7 linked regions of the Oryctolagus cuniculus genome follow. The protein of the gene in region 3 purifies or fractionates together with the protein of the main gene of each other region. This does not show direct contact. Links are inferred from orthologs where the notes say so. Each region holds a gene or a part of one and is shown on either strand. Other genes may lie near its edges. The genes, in order: NOP58, EPC2, RUVBL1, tubulin alpha-1A chain, WDCP, SHQ1 and NOPCHAP1.

What was found.
Region 1: the proteins of RUVBL1 (region 3) and NOP58 purify together in Homo sapiens (affinity purification with mass spectrometry; 4 studies listed by BioGRID and IntAct, with this or other methods). This does not show direct contact. The link is inferred for Oryctolagus cuniculus from reciprocal best matches to the Homo sapiens genes RUVBL1 and NOP58.
Region 2: the proteins of RUVBL1 (region 3) and EPC2 purify together in Homo sapiens (co-immunoprecipitation; 3 studies listed by BioGRID and IntAct, counting the BioPlex papers as one, with this or other methods). This does not show direct contact. The link is inferred for Oryctolagus cuniculus from reciprocal best matches to the Homo sapiens genes RUVBL1 and EPC2.
Region 4: the proteins of RUVBL1 (region 3) and tubulin alpha-1A chain purify together in Homo sapiens (affinity purification with western blotting; 3 studies listed by BioGRID and IntAct, with this or other methods). This does not show direct contact. The link is inferred for Oryctolagus cuniculus from reciprocal best matches to the Homo sapiens genes RUVBL1 and TUBA1A.
Region 5: the proteins of RUVBL1 (region 3) and WDCP purify together in Homo sapiens (affinity purification with mass spectrometry; 6 studies listed by BioGRID and IntAct, counting the BioPlex papers as one, with this or other methods). This does not show direct contact. The link is inferred for Oryctolagus cuniculus from reciprocal best matches to the Homo sapiens genes RUVBL1 and WDCP.
Region 6: the proteins of RUVBL1 (region 3) and SHQ1 purify together in Homo sapiens (affinity purification with mass spectrometry; 3 studies listed by BioGRID and IntAct, counting the BioPlex papers as one, with this or other methods). This does not show direct contact. The link is inferred for Oryctolagus cuniculus from reciprocal best matches to the Homo sapiens genes RUVBL1 and SHQ1.
Region 7: the proteins of RUVBL1 (region 3) and NOPCHAP1 purify together in Homo sapiens (affinity purification with mass spectrometry; 4 studies listed by BioGRID and IntAct, counting the BioPlex papers as one, with this or other methods). This does not show direct contact. The link is inferred for Oryctolagus cuniculus from reciprocal best matches to the Homo sapiens genes RUVBL1 and NOPCHAP1.

The regions. Positions count from the first base shown.
Region 1 is NC_091434.1:37,693,962-37,697,461, reverse strand, and holds part of NOP58 (nucleolar protein 58), read left to right. Parts: intron 1-2,488; coding exon 2,489-2,625; intron 2,626-3,500. UniProt on the Homo sapiens protein: Required for the biogenesis of box C/D snoRNAs such as U3, U8 and U14 snoRNAs. Part of the small subunit (SSU) processome, first precursor of the small eukaryotic ribosomal subunit.
Region 2 is NC_091434.1:93,440,765-93,444,264, forward strand, and holds part of EPC2 (enhancer of polycomb homolog 2), read right to left. Parts: intron 2,286-3,500; coding exon 2,126-2,285; intron 1,254-2,125; coding exon 920-1,253; intron 56-919; coding exon 1-55. UniProt on the Homo sapiens protein: May play a role in transcription or DNA repair.
Region 3 is NC_091441.1:110,808,894-110,812,987, reverse strand, and holds the start of RUVBL1 (ruvB-like 1), read left to right. Parts: upstream 1-1,294; 5' UTR 1,295-1,404; coding exon 1,405-1,545; intron 1,546-4,094. UniProt on the Homo sapiens protein: Possesses single-stranded DNA-stimulated ATPase and ATP-dependent DNA helicase (3' to 5') activity; hexamerization is thought to be critical for ATP hydrolysis and adjacent subunits in the ring-like structure contribute to the ATPase activity.
Region 4 is NC_091442.1:52,629,035-52,633,095, reverse strand, and holds the start of tubulin alpha-1A chain, read left to right. Parts: upstream 1-1,261; 5' UTR 1,262-1,488; coding exon 1,489-1,491; intron 1,492-2,029; exon of another isoform or gene 2,030-2,136; intron 2,137-3,230; coding exon 3,231-3,453; intron 3,454-3,593; coding exon 3,594-3,742; intron 3,743-4,049; coding exon 4,050-4,061. UniProt on the Homo sapiens protein: Tubulin is the major constituent of microtubules, a cylinder consisting of laterally associated linear protofilaments composed of alpha- and beta-tubulin heterodimers.
Region 5 is NC_091433.1:178,527,917-178,531,416, reverse strand, and holds part of WDCP (WD repeat and coiled-coil-containing protein), read right to left. Parts: intron 3,019-3,500; coding exon 1,176-3,018; intron 1-1,175.
Region 6 is NC_091441.1:76,401,989-76,406,126, reverse strand, and holds the start of SHQ1 (protein SHQ1 homolog), read right to left. Parts: upstream 2,801-4,138; 5' UTR 2,690-2,800; coding exon 2,547-2,689; exon of another isoform or gene 2,489-2,546; intron 2,071-2,488; exon of another isoform or gene 1,556-2,070; intron 1-1,555. UniProt on the Homo sapiens protein: Required for the quantitative accumulation of H/ACA ribonucleoproteins (RNPs), including telomerase, probably through the stabilization of DKC1, from the time of its synthesis until its association with NOP10, NHP2, and NAF1 at the nascent H/ACA RNA.
Region 7 is NC_091442.1:107,702,428-107,705,927, reverse strand, and holds part of NOPCHAP1 (NOP protein chaperone 1), read right to left. Parts: intron 1,497-3,500; coding exon 1,278-1,496; 3' UTR 1-1,277. UniProt on the Homo sapiens protein: Client-loading PAQosome/R2TP complex cofactor that selects NOP58 to promote box C/D small nucleolar ribonucleoprotein (snoRNP) assembly. Acts as a bridge between NOP58 and the R2TP complex via RUVBL1:RUVBL2.

The sequences.
Region 1 (3,500 bases), on a different chromosome or scaffold from region 3:
GGCCAAACAGGAGTTTCATCAGGGTCTTCCATGTAGGTGGTAGGGGCCCAAGTATTTGAGCCATCTTCTGCTGCTTTCCCAGTGCATTAGTAGAAAGCTGGTTTGAAAGTGGAGTTGAGGCTTGACCAGCGCTCATATTGGGTGCTGGCTTCATAGGCAACTTAATCCATTGCATCACAGCGCTGGCCCCAAGTTTATTATTTCTAACACTGTCAAACAATAAGATTTTCTGTGATAAGTCTCTACATCCTTTGAAGTGTCCATGAGTGCCATGAGAAGTGCCATGTGTTTCTGTTAAAACCCATACATTTTAGCATTTAGGAAGAAAGCAGACTTTCATATCCTAAGGCCATAAAACATTAATTCCAAATTGATATATATATGTATTATGCTCAAAAGAAAAAGAAGATAGTGTGGTAATCTACTGCTTGAGTGGCTGTGTGCACATGTAGTATAAATCAGACACAAAGTCATTTTGCCAATTGGTCGCATTATGGGTGTTTTTTAAAGTTTTTTCATTTGAGTTTCTCTTTTAAAACCTTATGCTGGGGGCTGGTACTGTGACCATTAAGTTAATTCTCTGGCTCTCATATGGGCACCAGTTCTAGTCCTGGCTACTGCTCTTCCAATCCAGCTCTCTGCTATGGCCTGGGAAAGCAGTAGAAGATTGCCCAAGTCCTTGGGCCCCTGCACCTGCGTGGGAGACCTGCAAGAAACTCCTGGTTCCTGCCTTCGGATTGGCTCATCTCTGGCCATTGCAGGCACTTGGGGAGTGAACCAGTGAATGGAAGACCTTTCTCTGTCTCTCCCTCGCTATCTGTAACTCTTCCTCTTAAATAAGTAAATAAAATCTTTTAAAAAATTGCCTTATGCTGTTTATCATTTGTGTAACAAATTTTTCTGAAATATTTATTATTTTATTCTTATTTATTATTCTTTATTTTATTCTTAAGCAGAGTGCAGTATATAGTTTTTTTTATACATATGATTGTATACATACAGTGAAATAGAACTCTGTAGATTTTAAAGACTTGTATACGGGGCTGGTGTTGTCCAGTGGGTTACACTGCTGCCCACCACACCAGCATCTCATATGGGCATCACTTTGTGTCCTAGTTGCTCCACTCTTTTTTTTTTTTTTTTTTTTTTAAGATTTATTTTATTTATTTGAAAGAGTTACAGAGAGAGGTAGAGACAGAGAGAAAGAGAGGTCTTCCATCCGCTGGTTCACTCCCCAGATAGCCGCAATGGCTGGAGCTGTGCCGATCCGGAGCCAGGAGCTTCTTCCGGGTCTCCTACACGGGTGCAAGGGACCCAAGGACTTGAGCCATCTTCTGCTGCTATCCCAGGTCATAGCAGAGAGCTGGATTGGAAGTGGAGCAGCCGGGACTAGAACTGGTGCCCATATGGGATGCTGGCTCTTCAGGCCGTGGCGTTAACCCACTGTGCCACAGCGCCAGCCCCAGTTGCTTCACTTCTAATTCAGCTCCCTGCTGGTGTGCTTGGGAAGGCAGTGGAAGTTAGATGGGCCAGATACTTGGACTTCTGGACCGCTTTGGGAGACCTGGACAGAATTCCAAACTCCTGGCTTCCACCTGGCTCAGCCCTGGCTGTTGGTGGTCATTTGGGGAATGAATCAGCAGAAGGGAAAATTCTCTGCCTCTCCCTCTCTGTAACTCTGCCTTTCAAATAAATAAATCTTTTTTAAAAAATAAGACTTGTAGATTTATGTATATATTACCATACGTGTATCTGGAAATATTTAAGAGATTCTATATTTGTCTGTAGAGAAAGAGGCTAAGATTCAGAACTTTCTCATTTAGTACCCTCTGAATAGTATTTCCTTTTAAATATGTAATATTTAAAGTATCTATTTTATTAAATATTTATTTGCATCTACTTGAAAGATGGAGGGAAAGAGATTCATCTTCCACCTGCTGGTTCACTCTCCAGATGCCTACACAGCCAGGGCTGAGCCAATTGGAAGTCAGGAATCTGGAACTCCATGCAAGTCTTCCATTTGGTTGATAGGGTCTCAGACCGTAAGCCATTTTCTGCTGCCAGCCAGTATGCATTATTAGGAAGTTAGATTGGAAGTGAAAGAGCTGAGACTGGAACCAACACACCAATATGAGATGTGGGCATCCCAGGTGGAAGCTTGAACCATTGCACCACAACAACCTGCCGCCTTGTATTTTTTATTAAAATGCTGTACTTAACGTAAAGTAGTAAAAGATGCCCTCAAACCAACAAACAAGGACGAAACTATTAAATCAAGTTGCTTTTATCTTTTATAGCTTTTGGTTCATACACTCAAGCTGTCTTTCAGGAAGCTTATATCATAATTGACTTCTACCATAAATGTGTAGAAGGTTTTTTACACAAACCCATTAGAGGCTACACTTGTCAGACTGAGAAATTCATGTTTAATATTTGAGAAATAGATTCAGTAAAGCTTTCTTAAAGACATTTGTTCTTCTTCCTCTAGGAAAAGTTGCATCTCAGCTGTATTCACAGCCCTGTTGTTAATGAGCTTATGAGAGGAATCCGCTCACAGATGGATGGATTAATCCCTGGGGTAGAGCCACGTGAAATGGCAGCTATGTGTCTTGGATTGGCCCACAGGTGAGAATCACTAGAAAATACAGTCAGTTTGTTTTGGTCCAATAAATGTAATAGCATTGGACTAAAAATGGTACAAGGACTAATTAAGTCTTATGAGGAAGATGATGTCCAAGATGGACATAAATGTGGTAGGGTATATTCATACATGCCAAGTTGTGATAGGATGTATACTTTCATTTTTTGAAAAAGATTTATTTACTTATATGAAAGGCAGAGTTACAGAGAGGCAGAGACAGAGAGGTCTTCCATCTGCTGGTTCACTCCCCAGATGACCTCAATGGCCAGAGCTGGGCTGATCTGAAGCCATGAGCCAGGAGCTTCTTCCTGGTTTCCCAAGAGGTATGGGGTCCAAGGACTTGGACCATCATCTACTGTTTTCCCAGGCCATAGCAGAGAGCTGGATTGGAAGTGGAACAGTCGGGACTTGAACCAGCGCCCGTATGGGATGCAGGCACTGCAAGCAGTGGCTTTTCCCGCTATGCCACAGCACCAGTCCCAGGATGTATACTTTCTGATCTTGGCATAATACTTCTTCCTATTTATTTATTTATTTATTTGGCAAGCAGAGTTAGTGAGTGAGAGAGAGAGAAAGGTCTTCCTTCCGTTGGTTCACCCCCAAATGGCTGCTACGGCCGGCGCGCTGCACCGATCCGAAGCCAAGAGCCAGGTGCTTCCTCCTGGTCTACCATTGGGGTGCAAGGCCCAAGCACTTGGACCATCCTCCACTGCACTCCCAGGCCACAGCAGAGAGCTGGACTAGAAGAGGAGCGACCGTGACAGAATCCGGCGCCCCAACCGGGACTAGAATCCGGGGTGCTGTCACGGAAGGCGGAGGATTAGCCAAGTGAGCCGTGGCGCCGGCACTTCTTCCTATT
Region 2 (3,500 bases), on a different chromosome or scaffold from region 3:
TACTGTTGTCTCTGCTATTCCATTTAAACCCAATCTTTCTGGTTCATGGTTCTCTCTATAACAAGGCAAAGAGTGAAATAAACATTAATAGTCTCTACAATGTGATGTTACCACTTAATATTTACAGAAACATTTTTATGTAACTATAAATAAACATGACTTCTGAAGAACATTTCTCATTTTTCTAGAAAGGAATGAGGAGTCTTTCCTCAGCTTAGAAAATCCACTAATTCCTAATTACTTACTTGATTATCACTATTTACTCAGGGAAGGTTATAATTTAACATAGTATCTCAGGTGAATCCAATAATAAATTATTTATTAACTATTAGCACATAGGACAAGCCAAGAGTTTTACAATAGATGGAGCATATAATACTCAAAGAGAATAATCATTAGGATCACAATATTACTTAAATTAATTTTCAGTGGAGTTTAGTCTTGTTCGTGATTCACTGTTCACCTTTCAATAGTTACAGAAAGAAATATAAAAACACTTTATAAAGTTCATTGTTATAGATTTAGCTAATTCTGGGATATTCTCAATTTTAATATGTTACTAGAATAATTTTCTTTCTGTTTGTATGTAATGCTGAAGAACACATAAATTTTGATTTAAAATCTAAACTCTAGCATGGAATAATACCAAATCTAGTTTTCCAGACTGCATAAACTGCCAAAAAAAAAAAAAAATAACAGAAGAGTAACTGGAGCTTCTAAAACATACTCTGATGTATTTGCCATTTTTTTTTTTTAAGGATTCTAGCTGGCATTTAAGAATATCCTTAACATCTGCAAAGCAAGTCTGTCAACAGACTCTATTACTTGAGCAGTAAAAAAGGTCTTCCTCCTACAGGAAAGTCAGCATACAACCTGAGAAAATGATACCTCTCACACTCACACACACATGAACACACACCTTGTTATGCTGCTGATGGCGCTGCTAGGAGTAACCTTTGGCACTCTGTCCATACTGGCAGCCACTGTGGCGAGTTTTAAGGCTGTTGGCGAGGGTGCTGAAGTCCGTGTATTGATATGCACATTGACTGGAGAAACAACACTGACATTATTGAGGTGCACTGCATTTGTCAGGCAGGAATTGTTCATGGGAAGTGTTTGAGGACTGCTTGTGCACAACGCTGGGATTAAGTGGTTTGTTGTGGTGTGACCAACTGTCCTTACAAGTTGTACAGCTGAAATCCCTGGGCTAGATGATAAAGCCATATTGGTGGAATACAATGTTTTAGACGTTCCTGAAAGAGAAAAAAAATTAGTGTAATGGGCAGTTATACAACTTTGGAAAATTAGGAGTTACATATATGTTATTGTCAACATTTATATTATAATTAAATACCAAGTTAACTTTCTACAAACAGGTTTCTCCAAAGAGTTTGTGACCATTAAGTATAATGCATTCACCTGTGACAACCCCCAAACCATCCTCTTTCTGTTTGCTTACCAAAGAGGTTTTGCTGCCTCCATGCCTACACTTTGGAGGACCTTATAATACAACAGATGAAAATGACAGCTGAATTTCCTTAAGAATTTACATATGCATAGACACTGGTAAGAAAAGAAATTCAGGATCATGGGTACCTATCAAAGCAACTGGAAAATCCTAGATTCTGAGAGGCAGCTGAAGTTATGATGGGACAGCAAGTCATTGAGGACTCAGGAGATCTAAGAAGCAGACAGAGGCTGACAGCAATACGGGATCTTAATAGAAGGAGTCAAAAGTATGCATGTGAATATGTAAGGGTGGGAAAGTAAACCAAATTTCAAACTTATTATAGACTGTCCTGGATTAAATATCACCTTTTTAATCAATGCTTGGATGATTCAACAGTAACCAGCCTGAAGGATTTCCTAAGATGTGAGGTAACTGACAGTTAAAGATGCTCTACAGGTAGATATTCAATGTACACAGAAGAAACAGGGAACAGGTTCCACATGAACTCTATAGAACACCCAGCCATTCTCCTTTATCTTTCCAAAGAAATTCTGAAGCATACTGACTACTTCTTAGATATATTTTTCCCAAGGATATAAAAGAGCAAAGACCATACCACAACTCAGTGAGTTACAACTTCAAGTGAGTTAGTACACATGAAAACTGCAGCCATACCTGAAGGCTGGACAACACCATTTATGTTGTTGTGGCCAGGGTTCTGTTCCTTGACCACCTCACTGCGACTTGGAACAGGTGCACTGACCACTGCAGATGCAGCAAAGTGGGCGCTGGCTGAGTCAAGTGTTTTAGACATACAGTCAGAGGTGCTTGAGCCCTATAAAATGGACAAAGTTAAATTCTCATTTTTTTAGATGCAATTTCATAAGCATATTAAGGAATGAGGCAAGCCCAAGAGCCTAATCTTTAACTGGTACACGTGTTTAGACTGTAAAACTTACAGTCTACAAAAATACTTATTTTTGGCATATGGAGCAGGAAGTAGCTAAAAACTGGCAAGAATTATTTCTAAGAATTAGGGGATCAAAAAACTGAAACCCTTCATGGTTTATTAATTTTTCCAATAAATGTCAATGAGTGTTTTTTTTTCCCTAAAGATTTTATTTGGAAGACAGAGTTACTGAGATAAAGGGAGCCAGATCTTCTACCTCTTGGTTCATTCCCTAAATGGCCACAACAGATGGGGCTGGATCAGGCCAAAGCCAAGAACGTGGATCTCCATCCAAGTCTCTCAAATGGATGGCAGGGGCACAAGTATTCAGGCCATCTTCTGCTGCTTTCCCAGGTACTTTAGCAAGGAGCTGGATCAGAAGCACAGTATCCTGGATTTAAACTGGCACTCAGATATAAGATGCCAGAGCTGCAGGTGGCAGCTCACCCACTATGTCACAACAATGGCTTATTCTCAAGCACTTTTAAAAGCACTTCTTGGGACCAGTACTGTGGTACAGTGCATTAGACTGCCACCTGTGATGCAGACATTCCATATGAGCACTGGATAGAGTCCCAGCTGTTCCACTTCTGATCCAGCTCCCTGCTAATGTGCCTGGAAAAGCAGCAGAAGATGGCTCGAGTAACTGGGCTCCTTCCACCCATGTGGGAGAACTGGATGAAGTTTCTGGCTTCTGGTTTCAGCCTACACAGCCTCAACCATCATAGCCATATGGGGAGTGAACCAGCAGATGAAAAATCTTTTTCTCCTTGTTTCTACCTGTCACTCTGCCTTTCAAATAAATAAAATAAATGTTCAAAAATGTGTGATAGGCTTGCTACTACAGGTAAAATGAAATCAGAGATGGCTAATCATTTTTATCAGAGTAAAAACCTTGTGAAGTAGGCTGAAAATGCTTTAGACTGGTTATCCAAGAAAAAGCTAACACAGCTAAGTTTAATGTCCAGTCTTCCTTTATTCTGTATAAAGCTGTCTGTTACTATGCCAACAACCCATGACTGTACACGTCACAGTCACTGAAGTTTTCATGGTGCTGGACTCAGGATCTTCAAGGAAGGTGTATTCACTCTACAAATTAAA
Region 3 (4,094 bases):
ACCAGGTCAATAGCATAAAAAACCAAAGCAGCTCTGGTGGAACAAGGAGTGGGTGCTGGGGTATAATGGAGGTAGTGTCCTAAATTCTCAGCCTTCCCCTTCACTACCCATTCTGGCCACAAAACGATTCTATAACTCCAGGGAGTATACTTTGAAAGCCACTGGACCAAGTGGTCCAGGAGCTTCCTCTGAGCCCTAAAAACCTCTGCATCCTCCCCTTCTTTTGGCTGCCAGGAAATCCTTCTCTTTGCTCAGTGCCAAAAGAGAGAAGAGTTTGAGGGCTTAAAATAATAAATGTAAAACCGGTCTTTCCTCCTCACTGGACAACACACACAGGTTGTTGCTACAGAGCACCTCACTTTGATATTCGTTGGTGGAAAGCCTTCCTTCCACACCCTGAAAGGAACAGTTCTTTATGCAACACTTACGACCAGGCCTGTCAATGATACGCTGAGCATCTCTGGGTGTCCTGAGGGGGTGTCTTTAGGGCTGATTAATCACACACTACCACTAACAACTTTAGCCTTCCAAGACCTGGCCCCCGTCCCTCGGGGCTCTGAAGAACGTCAGAAGCTTCCATCCCAGTGGTGCTGAATCCATTATGAAGCCGACAGGAGAGTGATGGTCTTTTCTGAGGTGCTGGGATGGGCTGAGGGTTACACGGGCTCAGTCTCCTCTGGGGTTTCCCGTTCTGCTCATCGCTGTGTGTTCCAGCGCAGGTCACTGGACCTTTTTTCATGAGCCTTTTTATCTGCGTTAGGCATTATACCACCTTACAGGGCTGTGCAACGCTATTCGCAGGCAACTTAAGCAGAGGAGGAGGGTGGAGGAGAGAAGCAGAGAAGCCAGTTCCACGGAGGATTCTGAGCGGAGCAGCGTTGGGAATGGCTGGCTGAGCGGGACCTTCGCAGGCACGTGCAAACGCTTGGGAGTTGGAAAACTTCGGAGTAACCAACCCAAAGTCAAAGCTTAAGCTCGCCTCAGTTCCTGCATGTCCAAACTGAGGCCATAACCTGAGCTCCGCGGAAAGGCGTGACGTTTAAGTATGATAATAGATTAGATGGAACGATTAAAATCCAGATTTGAAGCACCACCTCCAAACTCGCACCGTGACTTACCTTTCTGCCTTCCCGCCACCGGCCGGGGCAGGAAGTGGCGGCTCGGGGGAAATTCAACCCAGTGACACAGCCGGAAGTAAATGGGCGGGGTTCCACCGGCAATCGCGATGGACGCGGCCTTAAACCAATGGGGAACGGAGGCGTTTCCGCTTCCGCCAATAGAGCAAGGACCTGGGCGGGCCCTTGCAAACCGCCGTGGTAACAGCCGCATGGTTACCCGGGCGCCAGGCGCGCAGCTGTAGGTCCTGATTTTCCACGTTGGTTTTGGCTCCCGTCGCCTGCAAAAATGAAAATTGAGGAGGTGAAGAGCACCACGAAGACGCAGCGCATCGCCTCCCACAGCCACGTGAAGGGGCTGGGGCTGGACGAGAGCGGCTTGGCCAAGCAGGCGGCCTCAGGGCTCGTGGGCCAGGAGAACGCGCGAGAGGTGTGGCGGGCGGACCGGGGAGCTGGGGGCTCCGGCAGGGCCGCTGCGGCGCCACAGCCGCTGAAGCGGGGGCCGGGGGTCTGCCCCGCATTTCCGCAGGGCAGGGTGGGGGTGGGAGAAAGGCGACGGGCCGCGGGGAGCAGGGGGCGGTTTGTGCCAGTTCACCGACAGGTGTTGATGGCGCTCCCGGCTGCGTGCCAGGCCTCGGCTGGCGACGCCGGGATGCGGCGGGGAACAGGATAGAAAAGGTCCCTGCTTTCCCGGCGCTTACATTTCCGTGCGGTGAGCTGAGAGGATAAACGTGTGGGCCGATAAAATGACTGTGTCCTGGTAGGGGTCCTCTGTGCAGGGTTTTGTCGGCATGGCAGGGAAACTGTAGGAGTTTGAAAGCTCGCTCTGGTTCCCAGGCCCGGGAGCTGTGAGAGGAGTGATCTGATTGACCCACTCCTGCAAGCATCTTTCTTGGTCGCTCCGGTCCTGATTTTATTAAAGTGACAGGGATGCCAAGTCCATTCCCCTACAATATTGTTTTACCGGCAAAAAAATAAGGATGGGAGAGGCCGCTAGTCCACTTGCCACTGTAGTTTAAAGGGTAAAGCTGGCATTCGCACGTCCATGTGTTTCTGCCGCCCTTTCTCAGCCCCCTGCGCTCCAGGCTAAGAGCCCTGCCCTAGAGGCTAGACAGCTACAAAACCCTGCACTTTATATGAAGTGAAGACATGCCTCTCAGCCCGATGCTGCTCATGGAAAGGGCCAAAGACAAGCCCCTGGTTTCTGTTTTGAGCATCATCTTTCCAGTAGGGAAACGTCTGACCCTGACTCAACAAAGCACCTGTTACTGCAAGCAGCTAGCATGGATTGGGCCAAGCACCATGCTAAGCAGCTGTGTTCCCACTGTCTTGTTATTCACTTGCAGTCTAATAATTTTGCTCCCCCACTCTAGTACTGTATTCCTCAACGTAGGAAATGTTGGCTCGTTCAGTAGATATCTGCCCAAAAATCTACAATTAATATTTTTGCCATTGCTTTGTCACGCATCTATTCATCTATCCAGCTGCCAGTCCACTTTGACATTTCAGAGTAGATGGCAAACATCCATACAGCTCACCCCTAAACCCTTTAGGGCCGATGAGGTTATGTGGGCTAAGGTCCCCGTGCTGGTGGGCGGTAGAGCCAGGAGTTAAACTCAGGTCTGTGTGGCTGCAGAATCCACGCTCCGAACTCTGATGCTGTGTTTCTCAGGCCCACCTTTGCTGCCAGGTTCTTGTATGGGGCTGGTGGTGTCGGCAGCCTCTCTGGCGCTCAGTGTGCTCGTCTGAGAGCCAACATGGACTCTAAGGCCTGTTCGGTTCTTTTTCGATGTCAGGGTTCACCGTGTGTCTCACTGCAGGGAAGCTGGAGGGTAAACTGAAGGAGAATACATGGAAGAGGTTCTGTCTGTAAGAGAGTTACAAGTGCAAAGTTTGGAAAGCCGTCTCCGCCTTATTTTGAGTTTCCCAGGAGCTCCAGTGCTGAGGATCATATGAAGACTATATGGGAGACCACAGCAAGTCTCCATCCTTTTTAGCAATATAGCATCTGAAGAATACCTAATAGGCTCTGTAACGGGCACTCTGCTCATTGAAGCAGCAGTGAATCTAGCACGTGCACACACAGTCCTTGCACACACGTTTTAGGGGCTGCTATAGTGTGTGACTGAGGTACTTCACAGTCCACAAGGAATAGAGAGAGCAAACGCGTTCACAAGATCTTGTCAGTAGGGAACAGTATGACCACTGCCTTCCTTCAGGCAAGGAGAAGGTACCTTTTAGGTTTTGTATCAGTTATTAATTCAAGGGAACAAAGCTTATATTATGTGATCCTGGGATGTGGGTCCTCAGTACTGTGACTTTCTCATCCTTACACCTTTGTGTCAAATATTCTACAGTGTCTGAGGACTGGTAACCCATTTGTGTGTGTGTGTGTGTGTGTGTGTAGAATACACTGACAGGGAATTGAATACTTTAATCTTGGGGATTCAGAAGGCATCGGTGGATCTAGTGGTGCCACAGATTTACCCTCACGTCCAGTGTTGGCTTTGCACAGTTCACTGATGGCCATCTAGGTGCTGGTATCAGGGATTGTTTTTGTTTTATAAGATTTATTGTATTTATTTGAAAGAGTTACAGAGAGAGGTAAAAGAGATCTTCCATCCACTGGTTCACTCCCCAAATGGCCACAACGGCCAGGGCTGAGCTGATCCAAAGCCAGGAGCCAGGAACTTGTTCCGGGTCTTCCACGTGGGTGCAGGGGCCCAAGGACTTGAGCCATCTTCTGCTGTTTTCCGAGGCACATTAGCAGGGAGCAGGACCAGAAGTCGAGCAGCTGGGACTCAAACTGGTACCTATATGAGATGCCAGCACTGCAGGCCGGGGCTTTAATCTGCTGCACCTCGGCACTGGCCCCAGTATCATTGATGCTGAACCTTTAGTGGGTTAGTTGGGAATCTGATGAGAGCTATTAATCTGCCTCTTGGAAAAAATGTGCATAAGGACATATAGATAGAATTT
Region 4 (4,061 bases), on a different chromosome or scaffold from region 3:
CTGGGCTCCACAGGGCGCTGTAGTAATGCAGCCCCCGAAAATCAGTTGCTGGAAATTGAAAGGAAAAACAGAAATTTCTATTTTTGATAGTCAAACAAATCTCTTTACCTCTGAAATGTCATCCACAATGGCAAGAGGTGCACAGCCCGGAGACCTATTTTGCATAGCCCATCCTTGATGAGAATGGAGCCGTTCCGAGCAGCAAACCATTTCCTAGGGGGGAAAGCAAAGCCTTTTTTGTCCCCAAGAGGCCTCTGGGCAGCCACCAGTCTCCAGCTGAATAGCAGCGGTGTGAGGCCGGCTAAGGTTCCCACAGTTAGGAGGGTGTGGACCCCATTCTTATAAGCACTATATAAAAATGGACTGCGGTTGAACTGAGACTGCAGAGTTGCCTGCAGATGGAGGCAACAATACAAAGTGGTCCTCTTTTTGCATCCTACATCTTTCTTGTCTTCTTTTTAATTTAGTGTTTTGGTTACTCTTTTTTGTTTGTAACTTTCCCAAAAGGCGAGCAATGCAGAAATATAATTGCACACACAAGGGATACCGGTTTCTGCAGTCAATTCTTTCTCCTTGTGTTTTCCCAATTCTGTATTGGGAACGATGATTCATTTCTACATCTCACAAAATATATTACAGAGTCTTTTGGCAAATGAGTATCTCTCATCAGCTAACCCTCATGTGTCCATTAGCTCTCACCGACTGCAATGCTAGAACCTTTTGTGTTCTTTTATGCGGTATGGCTATGCCTCCCATCACCCATTTTGTTGAGCTATTTGGGTGTCTGTGCCCAAAAGAAGATATGAAAATACATTAATTGAACCTGCAGAGCCTTTTTTTTTTTTTTTTGGATGACTGTATTACCGGGTCCTTTTCTAATTAAAATAAGAGAGAAAGGGAAAGCATATTTACTCAAACCATTTTGAGTATCGCTCCCGTCTTTCCCACTTTATTTTTAAAGCAATTCGAGATGCTGGTTCGTAACCAAATGTAGCTTAGTGTACTGTCAGGGGGCGATTCTTCACGAAGATTCCATCTCAACACAAATGCTACGATTGAAACCGTACCTAGGTGATTTTAGCTGCAGGTTGAGACTGAAGCGATAGAAAATGATCTAGCCGCAGTCCTCTTTCTTCCCTTCCGCCCCTCCCGAGAGCCCCACCCCGTAATGGATGCTGGGCTGCCGGCTTTGGCTCGGTCTCTTTGTCTGAAGGATGCAGTCTATGGATACTGGGGGAAAACGGGTGGGGGAGCGATTACCTCATCCCATGTCGCCTGCACCAATCAGCACTCTTCTGCCGCGGCTTCTCCGGGCAGAGAGAGGGGTCTGGACCAACAGGAAGAGGCCCCGGCCCATCCCCATGGCGACCGGGCTGTATATAGGCGGCCGCCACCGCCCGAGCCGCAGGTTCTCTTACATCGACCGCCTAAGAGTCGCGCTGTAAGAAGCAGCAGCCTCCCTCTCGGCCTCCGCGCGCAGCAGCAACCATGGTAAGCGCCGGCCCCCCAGGCGGCCCGGGGAGCCCTTTGTAGCCTTTTTTGTCCAGGGTGGCTTTGTTTGCTTTCGGTCCCTACGCCCTGCCGCTGCCGCAGTGCGGAGCCAGGGCCCGGCCGGGACGAACAAAGGCGACGCCAGGGAGTGTTTGTCGCCGAGGACTCCCCGGGGCCGCAGCTGCCCCTCCGGCGGGGCGGGAGGGTCCGCAGCCGGGCGGGGCGTGCGCTCCGCGCTCGTGGGGCTCCCCGGGGACCTGCAGCCCGGGGGCGCTGGGTGTAGCTGGGCGCGGAGAGGAGGACGGGAACCGAGGGAAGCCTCGGGTTGGCGCAAGACCCTTGCGTTCTAGAGAGACAGCCGTCTACTAGCGGCTGGGGCCGGGGCGGCGCAGGGGCGGGGTTGTTTGTTTCTGGCTTCCCCGGTGTTGGAGCCGCCGGACCGGGTTCGCCCTCGCTCAGCCTCCGCGGTCACGGGGAAGCCTTGAATAAAAGCCTTGCATCACCGCGGAACTGAAGACTTCAAAAGGGTTTTCATTACCTGCTAAAGCTCAGATGAAAAAAAATTGTTTTCTCGAGGCCCAGAATCCCAATTCACAAGCCCTTTAAAGTCTGGTCCAGCGTGGCCACGCCCTTGAGGGCTGCGGGGCCGGGCTGTGGGGGGGCGCAGGGTCCGCCCTGGGTGCCTGCTGGGCTGCGGTCGGGAACGCCTGCCCCGCCCCCGCCCCAGGGAGCAGACAATGAAAATTGCAGCCCTAAAAGTGACAATCTCTGTGGGATGAGGAGTAAGAATTTTATGTGGTGGGTAAAGAATTTCAGAAAGAAAACACTTTTTTGTTGCTTTAAATACATATTTCACTGTCCTTTCACTGGGCTTTTGTTCTTTGCTAGCTTCTCATATAACATTTCTTCCTAACTCGCAAACTGTTGTTTCAAAAATACTAACAATTTTTCAGTTTTTTACAGTGGAGGCGATTCTGTAAAAACTTAAAGTAACACAATTGCTGCAGACAAAGAATTACATTCTGCTCTCCAGCCGTCTTTTGTTCTAGGGTGTCTTCATTAATTCATTTCGATTCAGGAGCATGGTCCCAGGCTGGGTCAGGGGAAGAACTAGCAAAACAGCACAATGAGATCATATAGGCAGTTGCTGGAAATAGAGCTTGCTCTGTTAAATAATGTAGCAGACAGTACAGGCTAGCGCCAGGCACAGCAAATAACGGCAGTGCAGCAATGCAGAGGCAGACTTTTGTCTAGCTTCTAATAACTCCTAGTATTGATGGATCCTGCAGGCAGACTGCAGAAGGGTGTGGCTTGCAGCTGCAGTACAGATGCCTCTTGGAATCCTAAGTCCTCTGCAGAAGAAACTAATCTCCAGTTAAAGGGGGAAAAAAGCAGTAAAATGAATTCCAATCCATGATTGGATTGAATTTAATTTACTTCATTTTACAAAATCTGTGCTTTGAAGCCATAAAAAAATCTTCCATTCAAGCATGGCTCTGTGAACAATGGGCTTGCACCATGTGCTAAACTGTGCCAAGGCGACATTATTATTCAGACCACACCCATCTGCAGTATTTGTAGCAGGTGCTTTTCTTTCATCGTTTCTATCATATTAGGGATAAAACTGCAAATAAATTTGAGGAAGATCTAATTACTAGAAATACTTTTAGAAATTTGCTGAAAATTCAAAATGCTAATACAAAATAATTTATATATATTTTTCTCTTTCCCTCACACAGCGTGAGTGCATCTCCATCCACGTCGGCCAGGCTGGTGTCCAGATCGGCAATGCCTGCTGGGAGCTCTACTGCCTGGAACACGGCATCCAGCCCGATGGCCAGATGCCAAGTGACAAGACCATTGGGGGAGGAGACGACTCCTTCAACACCTTCTTCAGTGAGACGGGCGCTGGCAAGCACGTGCCCAGGGCCGTGTTTGTAGACCTGGAGCCTACGGTCATTGGTGAGTTGGCCTCCGTGGCCTCAGTGAGAGCCCCGGGTGCTGGGACAGGTCTGGGACAATTCTGTGAGGGGGGAGCCACTGGCACCCCGGGGCCCTGCAGGCTGTCAGTGACAGGTGGCTGGTCTGCTTCCCTCTTCCAGATGAAGTTCGCACCGGCACCTACCGCCAGCTCTTCCACCCCGAGCAGCTCATCACAGGCAAGGAAGATGCTGCCAATAACTATGCCCGCGGGCACTACACCATTGGCAAGGAGATCATTGACCTCGTCCTGGACCGAATTCGCAAGCTGGTATGTTTCCTCTCAACAATAAAGTACATTAGTAAGTTAAGGGATGCTGTTTGGTTGAAACAGAATTGAAATTGAAAAAAGGTTTTTAAAAATTCAATTAAAACATGAACTATCTGATATCATTTTGTAAATACTGAGAATTTTTAAATGAAGAAATGTTGAGTAATTCCAAGGTCTTCGCTTTTTAAAAAGCATTTGTTAAAGTAAGATCTAAATTCTTAGAGATGTACGAAAAGTGAGACTATTTACTATGATTGTATCACAGACAACAAAGACTTAATCTTTTCTATTCCTCTCTTTTAAACAGGCTGACCAGTGC
Region 5 (3,500 bases), on a different chromosome or scaffold from region 3:
TTTGGACAGGCAGAGTGGACAGTGAGAGAGAGAGACAGAGAGAAAGGTCTTCCTTTTGCCATTGGTTCACCCTCCAGTGGCCGCCGTGGCCGGCGCATAGCACTGATCCAAAGCCAGGAGCCAGGTGCTTCTCCTGGTCTCCCATGCGGGTGCAGGGCCCAAGGACCTGGGCCATCCTCCACTGCACTCCCAGGCCATAGCACAGAGCTGGACTGAAAGAGGGGCAACCAGGACAGAATCCAGCACCCCGACTAGGACTAGAACCCAGTGTGCCGGTGCCACAGGTGGAGGATTAGCCTAGTGAGCCGCAGCACCGGCCAAGTATACTCTTATAACAGATAACATGGAACAAAAACTACTGCTTCTGGGGTATTTAACACAGCACTTAGGCAGCCCATACTGAAGTGCCTGGCTTGGCTCCCAATTTTCCAGCTTACTGCTAAATGTACCCTACAAGGCAGGCTCAGGTAACTGGGTCCCCACCACCCCTGGGGAGACACTGATGAAGTTACTGGACCCTGACTTCCACCTGGCCCAATCCTGGCCACTGTGGAGTGAACCAGAGAACCAAAATTTTCTCTCTGCTTTTCAAGTAAAAATAAGCTTTTTAAAAAATATTGCTTCTAATTATATATTATTTGAAACAGTATCTTCACATAAGCATTTAGGTGAGTCTTATAATTTATTTACATGTGTAACTTATTTTGTTGTTAAAATAGGATTTCAAAGATATACAATTTGTAGCAAGATGAAATGCTTTAAGAATGTCTATTAATACTTCTAAAAAGTTTTATTAATTGGGGCGAGTATTGTGGGTAGGTTAGGCCACCACCTGAGATATTTGCATCCCACATTGGATCACGTCTCACCTCCACTCTGCCCAGATTCCTGCTAATGCACAGATAATGACCCAAGTACATGGGCCCCTAACACCCACACGGGAGACCAGGACAGACTTCCTGACTCCTGGGTTCACCTGGCTCAGCCCCTGCTATTGCAGGCATTTAGGGAGTGAACCAACAGGTGGAAGATCCTTCTCTGTTTCTGCCTCTCCCTGTGTCATTCTTTCAAACAAAGAATATTTGAAGTAATTTCTTTATTTATTTGGAAGGCATAGGAGGAGGGAGAGACACTTTAATCTGCCTGTTTGGCTGGCAGCACCCTGAGGCAGTTACCTGGTATAGCACGTGAACATACGGGGGCTCCTGGGAGCGAGGGTACACAGCCGAGGGCTTCTTCCCGTTCTGGACAAAGTCTGTGAGCTCAGAAAGACTGCGCTGCATTTCCGTCAGCTTCCTGGACAGCGATTCCAATTCCTTACACAGCTGCTCAGTCCCCTTTTCCCGTTCCAAGTTCTTTTTTGAAGGCACTTCAGGAGTTTCCGGCGTGCTGGTGCCATCTGGGGCTCTGCTGGGTCGCGGCTCTGTCGCCCAGGCCCAGGCAGGCCTATGGAGCATTTCCAGGGCTACGGAGCCATCCCCAGTACTGGACAGAGGGCTTCTGATTTCTTTAATAAGAGCTTTTCGAGGCCCTCCACTCCGACTGCTGGTATTCCCTGTTAACAAGAGCCCTCCACGCTGGGGACAAACATTTGGGGAAGGACTTTCAATGACCAGTTTCCTATCTGCTTTCTCTAACAGAGCGCTGAAGGTAGAACAGGCGCTCCGGCTTTCAGTCGACGTCGCTGAAGACGGCTCTCCCACCGTGACTTCCCTCACAGTCAAGCGAATGGCGTACTGTGCAGACTCTGAAGAAGGCAAGAAGGCCACATCGGTGCAGCTCGGCTTTCCTACCAAAATCAGTAACAACCTGTCTGTCAAGAAGCACAGGCCTTTTGGTCTTTCGCTGCTCTCCAACTGAATGTGCTGAACGTTCCGCATTGAAGAGGACACGACAGAATAGACCAAAACTGTGTTCCCAGTATTGGAAGCCACTGCCACCGCCTGTGCTTTGGGATGGCATGCTATCAGATCAGGAACCAGAATGCCCGGAACGCGGACCCTTCCCGTCAAGGTAACTGTCTTCTCGAAGGCCACGAGGGCCATATGTGAAGAATCCTGGCCAGTTCCTGTCCAGGAGGCCTTTTTTCTGAGACAAATCAGAGAACTCCCCTCAGACCTGGGTCTACTGAAAGAAATATGAGTGAGATCTAGCAGATCTGTGGAGGGGGACACTGGTGATGTTTCAGAATCGGTTTCAGAAGCAAGTGCCCCCTTATCCACAGAGGGTACGTCATCAGCAACTAGAAAAGTATCCAGGCCAGGGTTTGCACCACTAAGTGGGGCCTCAAAGGTTTCAGATGCATTTAAGCTGCAAATCTTATCTAGCGGAAGCTCAGTGGCTACTGCAACCTGTGAATCCACAGTGGCTGTGATGCAGCGGACTGAGCTGTCCACGTCAAATACTGGGGACAAGGAACACCTGTGCAGAGTCTTCTGGGCACTGTCCCAGATAAAAGAATGCAGGCAGCTGCCCACTGCCACCACCAGCCTCTGGCCATCCTGGGTCCAACAAGCACAGTGAATGCGGCCCGGGGTGCTGATGTTCACACTCACCCGGGAACTGTCCCACTGAACGTTAGGGAACACGGAGACATCCCGTGCAGTCAACACAGCCAGGACAGCGCCGTTCGGGTGCCACACACAGCCCTGGGGCAGAACGGGCAGTGACTGTCTAATCTCACACGTCTGAGACATCAGCCCCTTGCTCTTCTCTGTTGTGCTGGGCCCCAGCTGCCACACAGAGACATGCTTCTTGTGCTGGACAGCCAGCAGACTGGGCGCATCAGCTGCACCACACGGGGCCCAGCACAGCCCACAGACATGCTCAAATTGTCCAATGACTTTGGAGTCCCCGACCTTGACCTCCCCACTGTGAAGGCAGCAGTCAGTCAGGACCACCTGATTCCCATCAGTCCAGGCAAGGCCGTGAGTGGGGTGAATGGCTTGATGGAGTGCATTCAGTCCAGTCCTGAGCAGTTTTCCTTTTCCCAGCTCCACCATTTCTGATAAACACGATCTGAAATAATTAAGAAGGAAAGTAACCCCATGAAAAGACACATTATAGTATATTTTATAAGACAATTGACTTGAGGCTTTTCACAGGTTGATATCGTGGGAGATAAAGGGACAGGAGGAATGTCACAAATTAAAAGATTACGGGGTGGGCAGGTATCCTAACAGTTAGGAAGCCTACGTCCCAAGTTGGGGTACCTGGGTTCAGTTCCCGGTTCTAACTCCTGATTCCTGCTCAGGAAGGCAGCAGTGATGGCTCAGTGATTAGGTTCCTGCCACCCATGTGAGGACCTGGATTTTCCTGGCTCCTGTGTTTGGCATAGGCCAGCCTCAGCAGCCATTTCAGGAGTGAACCAGGGGATGGAAGATCTTTCTCACTCTCTCTCTGTTTCTCCCTCTCTCTATTACTCTGCCTTTCAAATAAATAAAATAAATCTAAAAAAAAAAAAAAAGTAGTACATGTCCATTTCAATGAAATGCAAGCAC
Region 6 (4,138 bases), about 34 Mb from region 3:
TCACACAACTCCTTAAGATCATTAATATGGGTCCCCCGCTACAGACTACCAGACTCAACCAGAAACCTGTGTGAGGCCACAGAACTGTACGCATGCTGAGTGCTCACTCCCAAGCTTCAACTACCTGAAGCGTGGACAGATCTGCGGGAAGAAAGCTTTTCCACTGTTTTGCTTGTATCCTCTTATTCTGCCCTTATCATCTCACAGGCTTCAAAGGGGTTTTCACTTTAACACTTTTACTTGACTGGGCTGATTGGCTTATTTCCCAATCCTATTGCGTTTTATATTTTTATTAGTGTATATGACAACAAGGTCTACACTTAAGAACAACTGGGCCTCTGACCTCTCCTTTGTGACAAAGGAGTCTTAGTCACTTTGGGCTGCTCTAACAGAAACACCACAGGCTGGGTGGCTTAAACAACTGAAATTGACTTCTCAATGCTTCTGGAGCCTGGAAAGTTGAAGATCAAGTTGCCAACCTGTTCAGTGCCTGGGGAGGGCACCCCTCCTGGCTTGCAGCTGACCACCTCCTTGCTGTATCCTGACCTGGTGGACAGGGGCCCTGGACTCTCCCTCTTCTTACAAGGGCACTAACCCCATCAATGGGGACTCTTGCCTTCATTCATCTAAACTGAAATACCATCATATTGGGAATAGGGGCTTCTACCTTTCAATGTTGGAGGGACACAACTATGCAGTCCACAGCAATGGGTGAGCAATAAAACCTGCTCTGTGGGGCTCTCCTAAATCAAATGCGCTAACCCACATGGAACACTTAACCTACAGTAACACTTCAGTAAATGCGTGCTACTAGCACCACCACCATCTTCCTGTTCTTCGTCTTGCCACCCTCAGGGAGACTTTCTCCGACCACTTTAAATAAACCTGGGCCTCTTTTGATGCCTCGTGAGCACAGTTCCTTCCCTTCATAGCACTCACGATTTGTAGAAGCATCATTTGTCCACCCTTTTTCTCTCCCATCCCCAACTGCAATGTAAACGTTTAACCTGGGGGTGGGGGGGGATGGCGCAGTAGGTTAATCCTCTGCCAGCAGCACCAGCATCCCATGTGGGTGCCGGGTTCTAGTCCTGGTTGCTCCTCTTCCAGTCCAGCTCTCTGCTGTGGCCCGGGAGGGCAGTGGAGGACGGCCCAAGTGCTTGGACCCTTGCACCTGCGTGGGAGACCAGGAAGGGGCACCTGGCTCCTGGTTTCAGATCGGCACAGCGCCGGCCATAGCAGCCATTTGGGGAGTGAACCAAAGGAAGGAAGACCTCTCTCTCTCTCTCTCTCTCTCAACGTCTATAACTCTACCTGTAAAAAAAGAAAAAAAAAAAACACTACAGGAGGGAAGGAGTTCATCTTGTTCAGCACTATAATCCCAGCACGGAAGCCCAATAAATAAACTACATGAATAAAGAAATCAGAAAGCACAGTGCTGTATTTCATTATTGGTTGTTTCTTGTTAATCTCTGACCATGCCTAACTTACCAATTAAACTTTACCATGGATCTGTATGTACAGGAAAAAAAACTATATAGAGTCTGGTACTCTCCACAGTTCAGGCGTCCAGTGGCACAGAGATTAAATCGAGATCTAACGGAAACTTGAGCAGAACTGGTTTAGGCAGTGAAGAAACTAGTTCGCCTGGAGAGGGAGGTTTGTGTTACAAAATACAGAAGTACTTAGGCAGGGAAGGCACAGGGGAGCCACACTTAAGACTGGAAAAAGAAAAGGGGAGCCCAGGGGATCGCCACGCTGTAGCATTTTAGAGCCTCTGGCAGCGTCCGTTACAGAATGGGGAGAACCACAGTGTCCACCCCCAAGGATCGCTGTCAACGTTAACACAAGCGAAGGCACTGCTTGCCCACCACACGGAACGGCATCAGCTCGAGCTGCTGCCGCTGTCGTTACGGCGCTGCGAGAAGAGAAATCTAAAGTGACACAAGCTGAGGGCTGCTCAAAGAGACCCGAAGGAAATTACCGCAACGAACCGGCAAAACGCAGGACTGCGGAGGCGGGCAGCGGGGGAGGCAGGAGAACGAGGCTAGCGCGGACTCAGAGCCGGCTAAGGTGAGAATTTGAGAAAGCAGGGAGCGGGCAGCCAAGATAAAGGTCGGTACACAGAAGGCGGGCTGGGAGAAAACAAAAGGACCAAAAGGTTGGGAAGTCATCGAAAAGATGCGAGCGAGCACGCGCGCGCCGCCGGGGAAGGGGGAGAGCGAAGGCGAAGCGCAAGGAGGGGGCAGAGCAAGTCTGGGAGGGCAACTTCACAGAAGCTGGAAACGTCCCCGGCCCAAAGGCCACGCTGCAAAGGGCTTTCGAGATTGCGCTCACGGGGGGATCAACAAGGCTGGAGAAGGGAACGGGCTTCTAAGCACCTGGAGCGCACACCTCCAGCAGGTCACTTCCTTGGCCCCAAAAGGAGACGGGCAAGTCTCGGGGAAAGATTCCGGGAACTGCTTCCCTGCTCTCTCACCCCTCTCCACAGGCGCTTAGCTCACGAATGCCCCCAATACGCTCGTCCCACGTTGACCCCCGGAACTCACCTGAGAAAGTACGGCTTGGCGTAGAACTTGAAGTCCACCCCCTCAAAGTAGACGTCGAACTCGGAGACTCGGACGTACGGCACGCGGATGGCGACGGTCAGGAAGTCAGCGTCCTGGCTGAGATCGAACGCGGGGGTCAGCATCGCATCCGCCTACGGCCGCCGCAGTCCCGCGGCACAAAACTCTCCAAGAAGTCCCCACACTCGGAGATCCCTTCCGTTAGCCACGGTGCTTCCGGCACAAGGCGGAAGTGCGCGTGCGTGAAGCGGGAAGTTCCGCCCCACGTCGATCTCCATGGAGACGGGACGCTTGTAGTGGCGAGGTGGAGCTTTCAAAGCAGCCGGGAAGAGCCAGAGGCGTGGCGAGTGGTGCCTGGGCGCTGGAGCTTCCTCGAAGGAAGACTTGGAAGAAACGCCAGAATCCGTCTTAGACCCGCCAAACCGCTATCCAGCTTCTTAGAGATGATTTTAACAGCGCTGGCTGGGCAAGGAGACAGGTGCGCGCTTGAATCCCATCTCAGCCACTTCCCAGATGTAACTTGCTCGGCCAAGTTACAACACCTCCTTATGCTACAGTGAGAATAATGCTACACCTGAAGCATCTAGAGATGGTCTTGGCCCCGTAGAGACGCTGCGGGGATATCACGCAGAGATTGCGTGCCTGGCAAGCTGCCCTGGTAGAGCGATCGCCTGGGCGCCTGGGCGCATCCGCTTTGTCTCCATCGCTTCCCACCCGCCCGTCGACGATTTCTTTCCTCTCTCGCTCTCACCGTCCCTTCCTCCCTCCCCCCTTTCCCTCCTCCTTCCTATTTTCCAGTTCCCTCCTTTCCTCCCCTTCTTGCAATAGCGCTTTCTCTTTCACAGAGCGTCCATGCACTAATCTCGTCTCAGCTGCACTACAAACTCCAGAGAAAACCGGGTTCAGAGAGGTTACACTGCGTCCTCTGGTCAGCACGCATCTCACTAGGATCAGAACCCGGAACGCTGGCCCGCGCTGATTAATGCGATTCCTCTGCATCCCCCAACCCCTTCCTTTCCCTGGCTTTCCTCCTGACACTCATCTGAGGTCATCTTTTCTGGTTTTCTTTTTTTTCTCCTGTTTTCCTACTACTCTTCCATCTATTTTCTCCATTTAGCCTGTGCTCCTCTTGCTCTCCCACCAGTCTCTCTCTCTACGTCCTCCGTTGGGCTTGCTGTCCTCTCATTTCATTTCCTGTTATCCCATCAGTCACCAGCATGGGCCAACTAGGATTATTTATTCCCTGGTTTTAAATATCAGTGGGATTATTTATTCCCTGGTTTTAAATATCAGTGGGAAAGGGATGAAAGTCATCTCCCAGGACAGTGATGGTAACCAGATAACTTCAAAAGCCTTTTCAACCTCTCTCTCTCTCTCTCTCTCTCTCTCTCTCTCTCTCTCTATCTCTCTTAATTCTAAGGAAATCATCTTGACACTTAAGACTCAGGAAAAAAATATGAACAGGAGATAATACTAACTGAGTAGTTACTATGTGCCAGCACTGCCACGAGCCTTACATAACGACCTCATTTCCCCAGCCAACAGCTCTGTGCAGCAGGCATTACGTATCCCCT
Region 7 (3,500 bases), on a different chromosome or scaffold from region 3:
TCCTCCAGCTCTGCGGAATCAGAGACCGGCTGGAAATTCTCAGGTCTCTTTCCTGGGTAGAAGTCAGGCCCACGGCAGCTGAGATCTCAACTTTAATAAGATCAGTCGGGAGGAAGACAGACCGTGCTGGCCCAGGACCACTGTGACTGCTGGGGGGGGAAGCAGCAGCTGCCTTTCCCTGTACTGTGCCTTCTGCCCTCCCTGTGGGGTCTCTATTTTCTCTATCAAGAGCTGCCACACTGTGGGCAACTGGGTGGAACAGTTTTAATAGCTGAGCCAAAGAGCTTTATTTTATGGAAAGCAAACACAGAAAGCTACTTTTCCCCACCAGTAAACTCTCCGAGCATTGTGTCGCCCGCTGTGATGACACCACAGAGAGTCAGTTTTCCTGCTCAAACAAGAAAGGAATGTTTTTTTGAAAGGAAGATAGATATGTCTGAGGATGGCTAAATATAAGTCATTCTTTTATTTGTGAAAACATTTTTCCTCTTAAAAAAACTTCTCATTAAACTCATTTTGATAGTGACAAATAAATTAGACTTTATAATAACCTTAAAAAAACTAGGTTCTTTTATCCAAAAGGATAATTTCAAACAAAAACAAACTGGTGATTTGTTTTTTTACCTTAAAATAACTTTGGTATTTCTGAACTCCATGCTGAAGAACAAAGAGGCCAACAGATGCACTTGTCAGCACACACAGTTAAGCTTTCTAAACACAGTGTCTCTTTAGCACAGGATCAACAATCAGCTTACCACTGGAAGAAACCCAAATGCTATTATATTTCAACTCTTGCAGAGTCAGCTTTGAGTTCTCTGAGAAGCAAAATATACTTGGTATTACGTGTGTGACATCAAATACGCAGCAGGCCATCAGCCTGAGGCCGCCCCGTTCTTTGAGACCCTATGTGACACACCACAACTACTTCAGCACCTACACCTACTTCAGAACTACATTCTTCTAAGAGCTGGGTTTCAGACAAACAGCTGAGCTCTGGCCAATCACAGGCAGCCAACTGATGACATCATAACCAAATAAGGCAAGAACCTTGGGCTAACCAATCACGTTACGCCTGCACTTCACTTCCCTGGGCCGCGGGCCACGCTGCAGAAAGGAGTTCTCTGCCCACGAACTGTTCTTGGCGCAAACTCTGTCCACATGAATAAAACGCACAAGCACTGTAGATACCTGGAATCCCAACCAGCCGGCGACCCACGTTCTCGTTCACAGATGTCGCAGGCTTCTATCACCTGTGTCTTTTCCCATCATTTATTTCATTATTTCTTTTTTTTACTTGCTGGACTGTCCAAAACTTCAATCTTGCCTTTTCCACCTTCCGAATTAGGAAGCTTAATGTTATCTTCAGTGACTTCACGAGGCCCGCTGTCACCCTCGTCCTCGGAGGAGGAACTCTCCCCGGAACTGTCTCCCGAACTCGCTTCTGAACGGTCCTCTTCCTTCGAATCCAACGGATTCATCTCAAACAAGGCCACATCCTGCAAAAAGTGCCAGGAGAGAAGCCGTGTCAGGGAAGTTCCCTAAAAAGCTGTCACAAAACAACACTGGGAGAATCAACATTCAGCATAAATATTAATGTGTGAGGAGCAAGATGCTTTTTTTTTCCTAGCATTTGTTTATTTATTTGAAAGTCAAGGTTAGAGAAAGAAGGAGAAACAGAGAAAGATCTTCCATCCGCTGCTTTATTCCCCAGATGGCCACAACGAACAGGGCTGGGCCAGGCCCAAGTCAGGAGCTTCACCCAGGTCTCCTACATGGATGGTGGAAGCCCAAACATGTAGGCTGTTTTCTGCTACTTTTCCCTGGCCATTAGCAAGGAGCTGGATTGGAAATGGAGCAGCCAGGACACAAACTAGTGCCCATACAGGATGCCAATGTCCAAGGGAAGGCTTAACCTGCCATGCCACAATGCTGGCCCCAACACACTATTTTTAGAAATTTAATTGAAAGGCAAAGTGACAGAGGGAGATAAACCTTCCATCTGCTGATTCACTCCCGAAATGGCCTCAACAGCTGCGGCTGAGTCAGGCTGAAGCTGGGAGCCAGACACTCCATCTGGGTGTCTAGTGTGAGCGGCGGGGACTCAAATACCTGGGCCATCACTGGGTGCTTCCCAGGAGCAGACACAGGAAGCGGGGCCAGAAGTGGCACCCTGATATGGGATGCCAGCGTCAGAGCGGCCGCAGAACCCACTGCGCCACAATGCTGGCTCCAGGGCCAGGAAGGTTTTTAATTCAACGCCTCGATTCCGTGCTTTTCCTGCCAGGGTCTGTGACAACTAGCACTCACTGCAAGTCTAAAAACCAGTCTCCCACAGCATGACTTGATATCTCCTGAACACATTCAAATATTCAACAACATTCATCCAACCAATGCGAATGGGAGTCAGGCACCACGCTAAGTGCTCAGGACTCAACAACAAAATTAAAACAGGTCCCTTCCTGTCGTGAAATATGTTTCTGGACAAGGACCAGCAAATTCCAACCTGCAGGCCAAATTCCGCCCCCTGCCTGCTTTTGTTCAGGTCCTAAGCTAACAATGGCTTTTATTTTTAAGTGGGGGAGAGGGGGATAGGAATACTATTTTGTGAAACATGAAAGCTCATCAAATTCAAATTTCAAACTCCCCAAGCTGTGCGTATTCACTCATGTAGCATGGACGGCTGCACGCACGTCTCAGCAGCAGGGCTGAGTAGCCACAACAGAGACAGCCCACACCCGACCTCGCACACCAAATGTCTGCTGGCCCCTGATCTGCAGGAGAGAGACAGACAAGGAGCAAATACATCATGAGGGTACTTCAAAAGTTTGTGGAAAATAGAATTAAAAGAGAAGTTTATTTTGGTGCAAAAAAATGAAATCCATGCATAGTTTTTATTTTATTTTTTTTATTTTTTATTTATTTATTTATTTATTTATTTTTATTTATTTATTTTTTTTGACAGGCAGAGTGGACAGTGAGAGAGAGAGACAGAGAGAAAGGTCTTCCTTTGCCGTTGGTTCACCCTCCAATGGCCGCCCCGGCCGGCGCACTGAGGCCGGCGCACCGCGCTGATCCGATGGCAGGAGCCAGGAGCCAGGAGCCAGGTGCTTTTCCTGGTCTCCCATGGAGTGCAGGGCCCAAGCAGCTGGGCCATCCTCCACTGCACTCCCTGGCCACAGCAGAGAGCTGGCCTGGAAGAGGGGCAACCGGGACAGAATCCAGCGCCCCGACCGGGACTAGAACCCGGTGTGCCGGCGCCGCTAGGCGGAGGATTAGCCTAGTGAGCCGCGGCGCCGGCCATAGTTTTTTTTATAATATGCATTTTCCATTAACTTTTTGAAGACCCTGTGTACGTATGGATTTCAAAAAAGTTTACACCCAAATAGGGGCAGGGGTTGTGACACAGGAGGTTAAGCTGCTGCTTTTAACATTGCATCCGTATCAGAGCACTGGTTCAAGTCCCAGTTCCTCTGTTTTCAATCCAGTTTCCTGCTAATGCA